Macaca mulatta: one gene and its partners. The protein of the gene in region 3 interacts with the protein of the main gene of each other region in a pairwise test. Links are inferred from orthologs where the notes say so. Each region holds a gene or a part of one and is shown on either strand. Other genes may lie near its edges.

Region 1 (3,500 bases), on a different chromosome or scaffold from region 3:
TGCCCAATTTGCATGAACCTTTTACTTCAGGTTGGCTAGTTTTTTCCCTGATGCTTCCAAACCACATGCACTCTTAAGTTGGCTTACATTTGTTTTACCCATTTTCTCCCTTGTGACTGCTAAGTCTGTCCATCAAATCCTTATTTTAAATAAAATCTTTCTTCACCACTCCAGGCAAAAGTAACCTGTCCTTTAGAATTTACAGCACTTACAGGCTACAAAGTACCACTTTTATTCAACACCGACTTGTGCATCTATTCTACTCTCCTGTAGTCTTATTTAACTAAATATGTGGATCTTATCTATCCCAAACTAGGCTATAAACTCTCTGAGAAAAGAGTTTGGGGTTATCTTCTTGTTCTCCACAGCACCTAATACAATGGGCAGCACGTACTGAATTCTTATTAAATATCTGAGGTTTCCCTGTAACAATGGTGACTGAAGTTTTACCCCAATAATTGTAAAGCTAAATAGTATTTCTCACCGGCCTGAACTCTGTGAGATAACTTCCCTGTAGTCATCACACAGAAACAGATTTTTCTCCTTTGTGGATAGTCTGATGTTGAGTAAGAGCTGAGTTCTGCCTGAATGATTTCCCACACTCTTTACATACATAGGGACCACCTCTATTATGGATGCTCTGGTGTTTACTAAGATCTGACCTCTGTCTGAAGGCTTTTCCACACTCATCACATTGGTAGGGCTTCTCCCCAGTGTGGATTCTCTGATGCTGAATGAGGCTGGTGATTCCTCGGAAGGCATTCCCACACTCATCACACTTGTAGGGCCTTTCTCCAGTGTGAATTCTCTGATGTTCCGTGAGGACCGATCTTTGAGTAAATGCCTTCCCACACTTATCACATTTATAGGGTCTTTCTCCAGTGTGAATTCGCTGATGTTCTGTAAGACTTGTCCTTTGAATAAAGGCTTTTTCACATACCTCACATTTGTAGGGTTTTTCCCCAGTGTGAATTCTCTGATGCTGAATAAGGCCACTCTGACTGAAGGATTTCCCACATTCCTTACACTGATAGCATTTTTCTTTGTGGTGGATTTCCTGATGGGAAACAAGGGATGAGTTATAAACAAAGGCTTTTCCACACTCATTGCACTCATAGGGCTTCGCGCCGGTATGAACTCCTTGATGCTGAGTAAGTATGGAACGCCGACTAAAACTTTTATTACACTGAGTACACTGATAAGGTTTGTCTCTTGTGTGGATCTTGATGTGGTGAAAGAGGCCTGCTTTCTGACTAAAGGCTTTGCCACAGTCATTACAGTGATAGTGTTTTTCTCCTGTGTGAAGTCTCTGATGTTGGTTAAGAGCTGACCACCGGCCAAAGGCTTTGCCACACTCATTACACTTATATGGTTTCTCTCCAGTGTGTATTATTTTGTGTCGAATAAGCACAGTTCTCCCACGGAAAGCTTTTCCACATTCTTCGCATTTGTAGGGTCTGTCTCCAGTATGGATCCTCTGATGTTCTGTGAGGTGTGAGTGCTGACTAAAAGCTTTTCCACAGTCATCACATCCATAAGATTTTTCTCCTGGACAGATTCTCTGATGCTCAGTATGGTCAGAGTTCTCAGTCAGGCTTACTCCATTTTCATCACAGGTAGGTTGTTTATCTTCTCTGGAGCATGCAGAGGGCTCTTCTGTTATTTCTTCAGGTTCATGAGTTTCTCCACACTTAGCAGACTGGGACATATCATTTTCAAATTTACTGGATGTATTCCCATGTGGTTTCATTTCTTCAGAAACTTCTTGCTTTAAATTTCCATACTCATTTCCAGTCTCAACATCTAAAACTAAGAAGGGATCATAAATGTTACCTTTTGTACCTTTAAAATGTATCCATACATTTTAATATTAAGCAGCTGTTAGGAAATTAAAAATGCAAGACTCTACCATCTTAGTGATAAAGAGAGGAAAATATATTTGTTTCAATATGGAAAACATATATGCATCAAAAAATATCTGGAAGGACACACAAAAAATTAGTAACAGTTACAGCCTATTTCAGAGTAGGAGGAAGAGACTAGGTGGCTGGGAAAATCAAGTGGAATAGAAACTTTTCATTAAATAACTTTAAAACATTTTGTTTTTGAGCCATGTACATTTTTACCTACTTAAAAAATTAAATGAAAATGAAACAGATGCAGAGAAAGCAGAAATAAGGTAGTGGATCTTTCACACATTCATGAACTTTTAATATTTTGTAACATTTGTTTTATTATTTTTTCTTTTTTTTTTTTTTTTTTGAGACAGAGTCTTGCTTTATCGTTCAGGCTGGAGTGCAGTGGCGTGATGTCAGCTCACTGCGACCTCCGCCTCCTGGGTTCAAGCGATTCGCCTGCCTCAGCCTCCTAAGTAGCTGGGATTACAGGCATGTGCCACCACACCCAGCGAATGTTTGTATTTTTAGTAGACACAGGGTTTCACCATGTTGGTCAGGCTGGTCTCGAACTCCTGACCTCGTGATCTACCCATTTTGGCCTCCCAAAGTGTTGGGATTACAGGTGTGAGCCACCACACCCAGCCTGTTATTCCTTTTCTTTGTAAGTATACAATTTTTTTTTTCTTGAACCATCTGAAAGTTGGTTGCAGAAATAATGGAGCAAAGTCTTATTTAATGAAGCAGAAAGGATATAGTGCAAGTGGAAGATAGAGGTATTGTCTGATAGGATAAAAGCTAAAAATAGCAAGGAGGTAGGCCGGGTGCGGTGGCTCACGCCTGTAATCCCAGCACTTTGGGAGACCAAGGCAGGCGGATCACAAGGTCAGGAGATTGAGACCATCCTGGCTAACACGGTGAAACCCCATCTCTACTAAAAATACAAAAAAATTAGCCGGACGTGGTGGCGGGCGCCTGTAGTCCCAGCTACTGGGGAGGCTGAGGCAGGAGAATGGCGTGAACCCGGGAGGTGGAGCTTGCAGTGAGCCGAGATCGCGCCACTGCACTCCAGCCTGGGCAACAGAGCGAGGCTCCGTTTCAAAAAAAAAAAAAAAGAAAGAAAAAAATAGCAAGGAGGTCAGTATAAAGAGAGAGAATGTATCAGAAGGACTAAATTAAGTGTTAAAGCCAGAATTTAGAAGAATATGAATATACAAGAAAGTAAGGGTTGAAGAGTGACAAACCAGGCCATCTGAGAGTCTATGTATGAGCCATCAGATTCAGAGAGGGCCTTTTTGACTTTAATGATCAGAAACAGTAGCAAGTACAAAAAAGCCCCAGTGTCCTATGTTACCCATCTTCCCCTTCCTCCCAAGATGGATCTTTCTTCTTTACCTTGCTCCTGTTGGGATTCAAGTTCTGGAGATTCATACTTTAGCTGGGCTTTCATGGACTGGAGGGGCATACTGGGTTCTCCTTCTTTTCCTAGAGGTACCATCTTCTGCAAGAACATTTCATGTTCCCCAGTGTGGGCTGAGACCTGAGGAAAATGAGATGTAGCTGACAGACTCACTCTGATAACAGAAAACAAAAAGTATACATTTG
Region 2 (2,518 bases), on a different chromosome or scaffold from region 3:
TCAAAAAATAAAAAAAGAAAAGCATGTAACCTCCTCAGAAGAAAGATGCTATAATCTCAGGCAGCAGGCAAGAACCAACTCAGGCTCTATGCAAATTATCTATCTCACTGACCCCCACCAAACCTCAGAAAAATTTAACGGTGAGAAGCAAAATCTCCTTTAAAGAGCAATGTAGAACGGAGAGAAAATATCATACAGCTGACTTCACTAGAGAGAAAGTGGATCAACTGCTTTCACTCAACAAAAAGAAAAAGGAGACGATCAATACAGATCCCCTCACCTCCTGGCAGCCCTTACCCTCAGTGAAAAGCCACCACCATTGTCTCTCTGGTGGCCATCAGATGAACCTGCGGCATTCCCACAAGACAGAATGGAGATTTCCCAAGGTATAGAGCAAGTTAGAGTACCTCAAAGAATGGCACCAGCCAGCCAGCTCCGAAGCTGCCAACACTACCATACATACACAGTTCAGTAAGTCAAGAAAGGCCTGGTACACAGCATTCTGTAACTTTTTTTTTTTTATTTTTTTCAATTTTTCCTTCTTTTTTTTTTAAGCACTAGTCTGTGCTTTGCGAACAGAATCAAGACATTAACAAAGATCAGCTTCTCTGAAGAAAAGCATTTCTATAGAACAAAGACAGCTACATGTTTCGCTGCCATTACACAGCTCCAAAGCAGGAAAAGAAAATATTTACAAAATACAAGTTTTTTTTTTTTTTCATTTTTTGTTTTTGTTTTTTTTTTTTCAATGCTAAAAGGGTTATTCAGAATTTTCAACCTTATAAATAGAAGAAGCACTTTATGCATAGGGATATGGTGCATTATTGTATTTTTTCTTTAAAGAAACAATGACAAACCCTTTAACTTGCAAACAGAAAAAAAAAATCACTAATGTTGAAAATTGTGAAAAAACCCCAACCATTAAGCAGTTGTCTACTATTTTTATACGATTACAAAATGGCCAAAAAAAAAGTCTTCTCCCCCCTCCCCCTTTTTGGTGATGTGATCATACAGGAGACAGGCACAAGGTTAACAGAGAAGGGTGAAGGGGGAACAATGGGAACCACAGCTAGGACCAGACAATGTTCCACAGGCAAGGGGAGCGTGAAAGACCAAGAGTGGAACTAACACCGACAGGGATCTGGATGTGAAGGAAACATGGCAAAGCGAATCAGAGAAAAAAAAAAAAATCACACAGGGAGATGGCTGCTCACTTCCCACAACCCCGTTTGCAGGGGAGTGGGAACAGAGGTTAAGTAGTCCTAACCCTACCTTCAGAGATCAGGATAGGTGGTAAAAAAAACATTCCGAGTGGAAGGACGGGTTGTGGGTGTGTATGTGGCATTGGAGAACGGACAGGGAAGGGTACCAAGGGGCATGATGAAGGGAACCTGAGCAGCCACAGCCAGGTTACTGCAGTTAAAGAGTCAAAACAGAGAAGACCAAATGCAGATGAAACAAAAAATAGGTCTCTAAGTTCTGGGTGAGAAGGGAAAGCTGTTCTGCCGGCTGAGCACTTGGTGAGAGCAGCTGGCAGTTACGGCAGAGAGGCTCTGGTGGGGATGTTCCAGCACGAAAAACCAAGGGGGGACCCAGCCAGGAGGGCCACAGCTGAGCCCAGCCACAGATGGGAGGGGAAGGGGTAAGAGCCCAGAGCACCCTGCCCCATTCCACCCTAGCCCGAGAAGGCCATGCTCAACTGGAGCCCTCTGCCCGCCAGGCTGTTCTGCCCTGCCCACAGGTGTGAGGGAGGGGGTGTGGTCATCTAAGATTGGTAAGTCCAGTGATTCAACAGTGCAGAGGATGTGCCAGGACCAGGCCAGCAGGGTCTCATCCTGAACTTCTGTTTGCCAACGGGAGGAAGTGCTCAGGTGTGTGACAAGAAAACATGGAAACAAAAAACAAAAATTAAAACGAGAGAAAAAAATACCAAAGTAGGATCTAAATTCCTTAAGTTCACTAAAAACTGTGAAAATTTCCGGCATATGATGTTTGAATATCAAACGCAGAGATTTCTGAAGCTTTAATGCCAATAGTTAGTGAGTCTGTTTAGATTCTTGTCTCCCGCTCATCTGTGAGTTGGGCGCTGAGCTGTGGCTGCTGCCACCAGATGCCGACTCTTGAGGGGGACAGTGGGAGGCGAGGTGGGTGCCGCCTCTGTCTCCCGGCCAGTCTTGCTGCCTGAGGTGCGTCGAGTGCAGCGGGCTGCTCGCTCCTGTGCATCCAGCTGGTCCTCACACTCCGCCTGGGGACTGTGCGCCAGGGGGAAGGTCCGCCGCTCCCAGGGCTGGACAGACTGTAGGCAGACAAGTTGCTCTGTGAGGACCCAGACCCAGCCAGCCTGCTTCCTGCTCCAAGGCCCTGCCACAAACCTTGTGGCCGGAGACTAGGACCAGTCTATCTAGCGTTCCTGGGACAGTCCAGGAACACCCCTCCTAGGGTGTACCCAGACAACCGTACTGACCATTTAGCAAAGATAAATATAGTTCCACTGAATGTTGAGGAGGTCAATTTAAGT
Region 3 (3,642 bases):
TCACACTTGAATTTTTCTGCTCAGATTTTAAAAGGACTGGAGGAGCTTGAGTTTCCTCAGACTTCACAATACATGGACATATTTAATGACACCTCTGTCCACTGGTTCCCCATGCAAAAGCTAGAACAGCTCTCCACAGATATTTGGGAGTTTCAGGAAGAACCAGATTATCAGGACTGTGAGGACCTTGAAATCATCAGGAACAAGACAGAAGATCCTTCCACTACTGACTGAACTCACTGTGAGGTACTCAGTGTTGGCTGAGGTAGAAGCTGCCACCGGAGACTAAAGGGAAGGCTGCCATGGAGGAACTACAGAGAACTCCTTTGCCAGGAAAGAACATCAACTTGGCTGTCTTGTTTTGAGGACAATACCCCCCATGAGGACTTGGTATAAAGATTCCTGCACTGCTAAGTGGCATTGTCCCGCTTTACATGCTTCCCTCGTGACCTGGCCCAATGTGGAGTAGCTCCCGAGTAAAGAAGTTACGCTTTTGAAGGTGATCTAAAATACCGTTTATTCACAACACATCCCTCTCAGGGGCAAGTCTCTGGCTGGCTCTGGGCCTGCCACAGTTCACTTGGCCATGTCGATCAGGCTCTGCAGTGAGGTGGGCACCCATGTCTTCTCGCCCTGGACAAAGACCACTCCCCGGTCGATGTAGATCACAATGCGGCCAAAGGTGTAGAGCTGCTTCCCTTCGTGTCGCTTCCCAATGACGGGCATGAAGACAATGTTGTGCTCCTCAGCCTTGGTCTCAATGAGGTCCTTAAAGTTCATGGGCACAGAGCTGGCGGCCACGCCAATGCCCCTCTGGGCCATGTTCTCAGCCTCCCGCCTCTCCTGCATGGCCTCGTACTGGAAGTCCTTCCTCCGCTCCGTGTGGGTGAGATAGGCAATGTTCTCCCGCGCGCCTGGCTGCATGTAGGCACCTGAGAGATACAGGAGGACAGGGCAGTGAGGAGAGGTGTTTCCAGGTGTATGGAAGTTGACGCTGACTTGGCCCAGGTCTGGGTGTGCCAGAGTGTTTGTGACTCACTGAAGGGCAGTTCTGCCTCAAAGATACAACTTTGGAGGAAGTTTAGACAACTGGCCAGTATCACATAAAAACTGTTCAGAAGGTTTCTGGCTAGTATCTAGTAACCAAAGAGATTATTAAATATTCAACATTTAAAAATGAAGTATCTGCAAGGGATTTCTTCTTTCAGAGCTGGAAACAGCAGAGTCCTCAGCCACTCTCCTGTTTCCACCTTGCCCTGTAGAGTTTCCACTTCATACCACCAAAGAGGCAGCTTTTAGTACCTTGAAAATATAGGCCCACACTGGCTTTATTTTTAACCTACCCACACAGGCCCCACATCCTGAAAGGAGTTCACGTATATTTGAGGAGCTGAAATTGGTGTTTAAGGATAATACAAGACCATAAATGCTAAGTGCTCACTGAGGGGTATATACAGGGAAGAGTTTTGGAAACATGAGGCCAGGGGTAGCTAAGGAAGAGTTTTTAGAAAGAACTTGATAATTACGGAAGCAGAGAAGTATATTTGCCTTATTACTTAATCTCTGTTTTCACAGAATAGGCTATTTTTTCTTTTTTTCTTTTCTTTTCTTTTTTTTTTTTTTTTTTTTTGAGACCGAGTCTCTCTCTTGTCGCCTAGGCTGGAATGCAGTGCTTGTGATCTCCACCACTCACTACAACCTCCGCCTCCCAGGTTCAAGTGATTCTTCTGCCTCAGCCTCCTGAGTAGCTGGTGTTACAGGCATGTGCCACCACGCCCGGCTAATTTCTGCATTTTTAGTACAGATGGGGTTTCACCATGTTGTTCAGGCTGGTCTCAAACTCCTGACCTCGTGATTGACCCGCCTCGGCCTGCCATAGTGTTGGGATTAGAGGCATGAGCCACGGCGCCTGGCCTAGGCTAACTATTAAATAACAAGAATTAAAGACTCAGGAAATAGAAATTCTAGTTCTAACTGCCACCCTTTAACTATGTGACCTTGAACAGGCTCTTAGCCTCACTGGGCTTATCTGTGAAACAGACTAGATGATCCCATTTCAATGCTGTGAATCGGCTAATGAGCAACACTGGAGCACACGACTGGTTGAAATAGGCTCCCAAATGTAGAAACATAAACATACTTTCATTTACTTATGATCTAGGCAGAATGACTTGCCTAGAACTTGGGAATAGATATAGTACATGAAGAGTGAACTGCCGGTTTTTGACAACACAGACACCACCTATTGAAGGCTGCAAACAAGCATGAACTCAATCCCCCTTTTAGCCTATGAAGTAGATCTTACTGTTTAACAGGTCAAATGGGGCTGATGAAGGCTGAGCAATCACCAAGTGTAAGACCGTGTACCCAACTCCACACTGTAAGATGTGTGACCTGGGCAGCGGGTTCAGGGCTGAATGAGCCTTAAAAGGCCACACAGCACAGTGGTTAAGAGGGCGGGGCCTGGGGTTAGACTGACATCTGAATCCAGCTTAAGTCAGTCTCCTTAGGGAAGATGCCCCTCTCAGTCATGGTAGACCTGGGCAGTGGGTGCCAGCTGACCATGTACCCCAATCAGCAGGGTGAGAGTCTGTTGCTATGGGCAAAAGTGCGACCTAAGGTTTAGGCTGCCTACAGGAACCAGAAAACTCTGATTCTGTGTCATTTACATGTGTAAAATCTGAAACTCAGGGCCAGGACATCCAAAATGGGAATCCTCACTTACCAACATTGGAGGACACCGCCCGGTTCATGATATCAAGTGCCTCGTTAAATTTGTCCTTGACAGATGGATGTGCCAGCACTTGGTCTGAGAACATAGACTTCCAACCCAGGTACCACTTGGTGATCTCCTCATAATTTGGGCTGTTACTGAGCCAAGAGCACAGCACCTGCCAAAAAGAAAAATTACTTGCATCCATGGTGGCAACAAATGAAGGCAAGATTTCCGAAGGGGCCATTTGTTTTGTTTTGATCCTGGTCCTGCAGGCTAGTGACACCACTTTACAGGGATTTATAGTAGCTAAACAGTCTAGGACTTACGAATATGGATTTTGGAGTCAGCCTGGTAGCTAAAGTGCCCTTGCATGTAAACTCTCTGAGCTCCGCTTCCATGTCTACACGACAGGGATACCATAGCCCCTACCCCATAGGGTTGCTGCGAGGAGCTGAGATAAAGCAAATAAAGTGCTTGGAACAGCTTCTGATACGTAGCAAATGTCCAATAAATGGTGGCCACTATTAAGATGACCTAACTCATTCCTACCCTACCATGTAATTCATTTTTATTATGGAATTGTACCTACAGTCAGGCCTCGGCAGAAAATTAACTTAATCCCCACTCAGTTCCCTCCCCCAGAAAGCCAAGCAAAACAGTGTACCTGAAGCCACTTGGGGAAGAAGTGCTTTTCAAGAAGTCCCACCAGACTAGAGACAGAGATCATCCCTTCCCAGTCGATCACCCAATAGAATGCATCCATGTGCTGCTGGTGGGGGTTAATGACTAGCTCACCAAGACACATCCCTGGAAGAGAAACCCGGTCTATAAGGCACAGCTTTAGTACTGGCAAAGCCACAGAAGCACAAAGAGCAAAGATAATGTCCGTTTTCCTCTCAGGTCACAACAACCTCCACCTCCTGGGT
Region 4 (2,493 bases), on a different chromosome or scaffold from region 3:
TACCACCATGCCCAGGATGTCATTTTAGAAGTCATTTACACTGACCCTGTGGATCTTTCTCTGGGCACCGTGGCAGAAATCACTGGTCATCAGCTCATGAGTTTGTCTACGGCAAATGCAAAGAAAGATCCCAGCTGCAAAACCTGTAATATCAGTGTTGGACGTTAATGCCCACTTTTCTTATTCTTACTCAGCCCCTTTTCCTCCATTAGGAGCATTGGTCCTGTTGTCCCTTTTCATCACCAGATGTTTTCCACTGAAGCATGCACATGCCACTGTCACCAAAAACGAACTACCACTTTCCAAATTCCATTCAGAGCCATTTTAGTGTTTTCCTATTCCCTACCCCTCCCACTACTTTCAATGATGAAATACCCTAAGTTCTCCTTCTGACACTTTATTGCCTAGATGCTGCAATGTTTTTATGTTTCCTTTATGCCAAACATAACAAAACAGTTATATAGACCGCTTTAGCAAAGTACACAATAATGGCTTATAAATGGTGTTTAAATATGCATTCATTTTAATCTACTGAACAAATATTGGGATAACTCCAAACCGCATGAAAGGGTGTAATTGCAGCATGAGTTAAATCTTGAAGCCTAGAATTGTCAGCACTTCCAACTTCTTGTTTGACAGTGTTATTTATGTTATTTATATTAGCTAACAGGAAACAACTACTGTGTTTCAACATAATAAATATAATAGAAAAATATTTTATTTGTATTGTTGTATAAAATATTTACAATCATATAGAATATATAGAGTTACATTTTAATAGCAATTGTGTACATGTCACGAAACCATTTCCCTTATCAAAGATGTAATTTGTAAACCTCAAATAGTTGTGTATCTGTCCTGTTACAAGTAGATGACTTCAATTAAACAAATGTATGAAGGACATTATTCTGATTCATAAAAGTTATAAAATATTAGGTAAATACAGAGAAAACAATAAGCCTCTGAAATAGTCTGTTTCTGAAATAGTCAATAGTCTTCCCATCCAAACTATAAGAAAATGTGAATTTCTTCAACATCATACTTAAATGTTACAGAAAATAGAAATACAAACAAGGTTGGTACATGAGGGAAAATGTTGACCTTTTACTTCCTTTTACAAAAATGAAAATAATAAACATGTTTTAGTATAAAATAACACAAAATGATATACACTAAAGTTGATGAAGCAAATAAATATTCTGGCTTCTTTTTCAAGGTATCAGGGCAATTTCCAAACCTTTCATTTTGTACAGAAGGAAGAATAACTACAGCTCATGGGAAATGTTTTGACTTTACAAAGTATAGATGTTGGAACATTAAGAAAAATGTATATTCCCAATGAAAAAATAGTTATATCATCTTATAGTAAACAAAAAGATTAGCAATAATACTATGGACATATTAGATTATATACTGCAGACACATATCTATCCAAAATACCTATTTTAAATTTTTAATACAATATTTTATTTTAATATAAACATCTGTCAGTTATAGACAAAGATAATAATTCACAAAGTACATGCTATCAGAATGAACTTTGGTAACCAGAAATGTAAAATTTCAAATACCAGATAAAATAATGTGTTATTTTTATAGAGAAATAAAAAAAATAGCAGTAACACAATCTAGGTTATTTTAGGGTACTGAGAGCCTAGCAGACTTAAAGGACAAGGTAGTAAATGTTTTATCACTCAAAAATCCATTAGAAGTTTCAAATAAATTACTTTCTTGCTAGGTACATTCCTTCCTACTTGAAAAGCAGAATTTCTTTTCCTCCTCTGATTGATTTTTAAAAATCATGCTCTTTTCCATACATCAACATAAACAATCTTTGGATACTAAATAAACTTTCCCTAACAAGCATCCTAGCTATGTTATTTAGATTTGATAAAATATTAGACATTTTTTAAAATACTTGTATTGACTATGAGTTTTCTGCTTGGCATGGAGGACACTGAATTTTTTCCCAATTATAAGGCTACCTGTTGTATCCTTCCCCCCATTTAAATCCCTTCTCCTTGTATATAATTAAACTTGCTATTCCTTCTTGAAAACAGCTAATACTACCACTAAAGTGCTTCCATTTTCATTGTGTCAAAACTACTTAGCAAGGATGGCAGAGGAAAATAAACTTTACTTTATATCATGGGTGAAAGTGATCATAACATTTCCCGAACCTCAAATAGTTTTGGCCACATCTTGCTTGCTGATGAGGACCTCTAATAGTCTCAGTTTGGCTTTTATGTGCTTATATTCGTAATACTCATCTGCCATTGGTATCCTATCTTCCTTTTGTGGACTTCTGCAAAACAAAAATACATTTATTAGTTCACAATGAATCAAGTCATTATTAAATATTCTTTTATAATTCATACATGAGAAAGTATACTGTGACAGCTTCCACTTGGTTTTTGCATCATGTCTTCTTTTCCTTCCCTTTCACCTTCATTCACTCCTTCTTCCATGTGTTACTAAACTTCTAAATAACAG

What was found.
Region 1: the proteins of TFIP11 (region 3) and ZSCAN12 interact in binary tests that used the Homo sapiens proteins (3 or more experiments, as listed by UniProt). The two-hybrid records come from large-scale screens. The link is inferred for Macaca mulatta from reciprocal best matches to the Homo sapiens genes TFIP11 and ZSCAN12.
Region 2: the proteins of TFIP11 (region 3) and KANSL1 interact in binary tests that used the Homo sapiens proteins (3 or more experiments, as listed by UniProt). The two-hybrid records come from large-scale screens. The link is inferred for Macaca mulatta from reciprocal best matches to the Homo sapiens genes TFIP11 and KANSL1.
Region 4: the proteins of TFIP11 (region 3) and FAM13C interact in binary tests that used the Homo sapiens proteins (3 or more experiments, as listed by UniProt). The two-hybrid records come from large-scale screens. The link is inferred for Macaca mulatta from reciprocal best matches to the Homo sapiens genes TFIP11 and FAM13C.

Annotation. Positions count from the first base shown.
Region 1 is NC_133409.1:154,952,451-154,955,950, reverse strand, and holds part of ZSCAN12 (zinc finger and SCAN domain-containing protein 12), read right to left. Parts: intron 3,470-3,500; coding exon of another isoform or gene 3,436-3,469; coding exon 3,291-3,435; intron 1,810-3,290; coding exon 521-1,809; 3' UTR 1-520. UniProt on the Homo sapiens protein: May be involved in transcriptional regulation.
Region 2 is NC_133421.1:70,930,607-70,933,124, forward strand, and holds the end of KANSL1 (KAT8 regulatory NSL complex subunit 1), read right to left. Parts: intron 2,297-2,518; coding exon 2,069-2,296; 3' UTR 501-2,068; downstream 1-500. UniProt on the Homo sapiens protein: Non-catalytic component of the NSL histone acetyltransferase complex, a multiprotein complex that mediates histone H4 acetylation at 'Lys-5'- and 'Lys-8' (H4K5ac and H4K8ac) at transcription start sites and promotes transcription initiation.
Region 3 is NC_133415.1:25,062,731-25,066,372, reverse strand, and holds the end of TFIP11 (tuftelin-interacting protein 11), read right to left. Parts: intron 3,524-3,642; coding exon 3,381-3,523; intron 2,892-3,380; coding exon 2,726-2,891; intron 1,178-2,725; exon of another isoform or gene 933-1,177; coding exon 577-932; 3' UTR 501-576; downstream 1-500. Other genes in the region: SRRD (SRR1-like protein), read left to right, coding at 25-234. UniProt on the Homo sapiens protein: Involved in pre-mRNA splicing, specifically in spliceosome disassembly during late-stage splicing events. Intron turnover seems to proceed through reactions in two lariat-intron associated complexes termed Intron Large (IL) and Intron Small (IS).
Region 4 is NC_133414.1:90,577,646-90,580,138, reverse strand, and holds the end of FAM13C (protein FAM13C), read right to left. Parts: intron 2,306-2,493; coding exon 2,182-2,305; 3' UTR 501-2,181; downstream 1-500. Other genes in the region: PHYHIPL (phytanoyl-CoA hydroxylase-interacting protein-like), read left to right, coding at 1-168.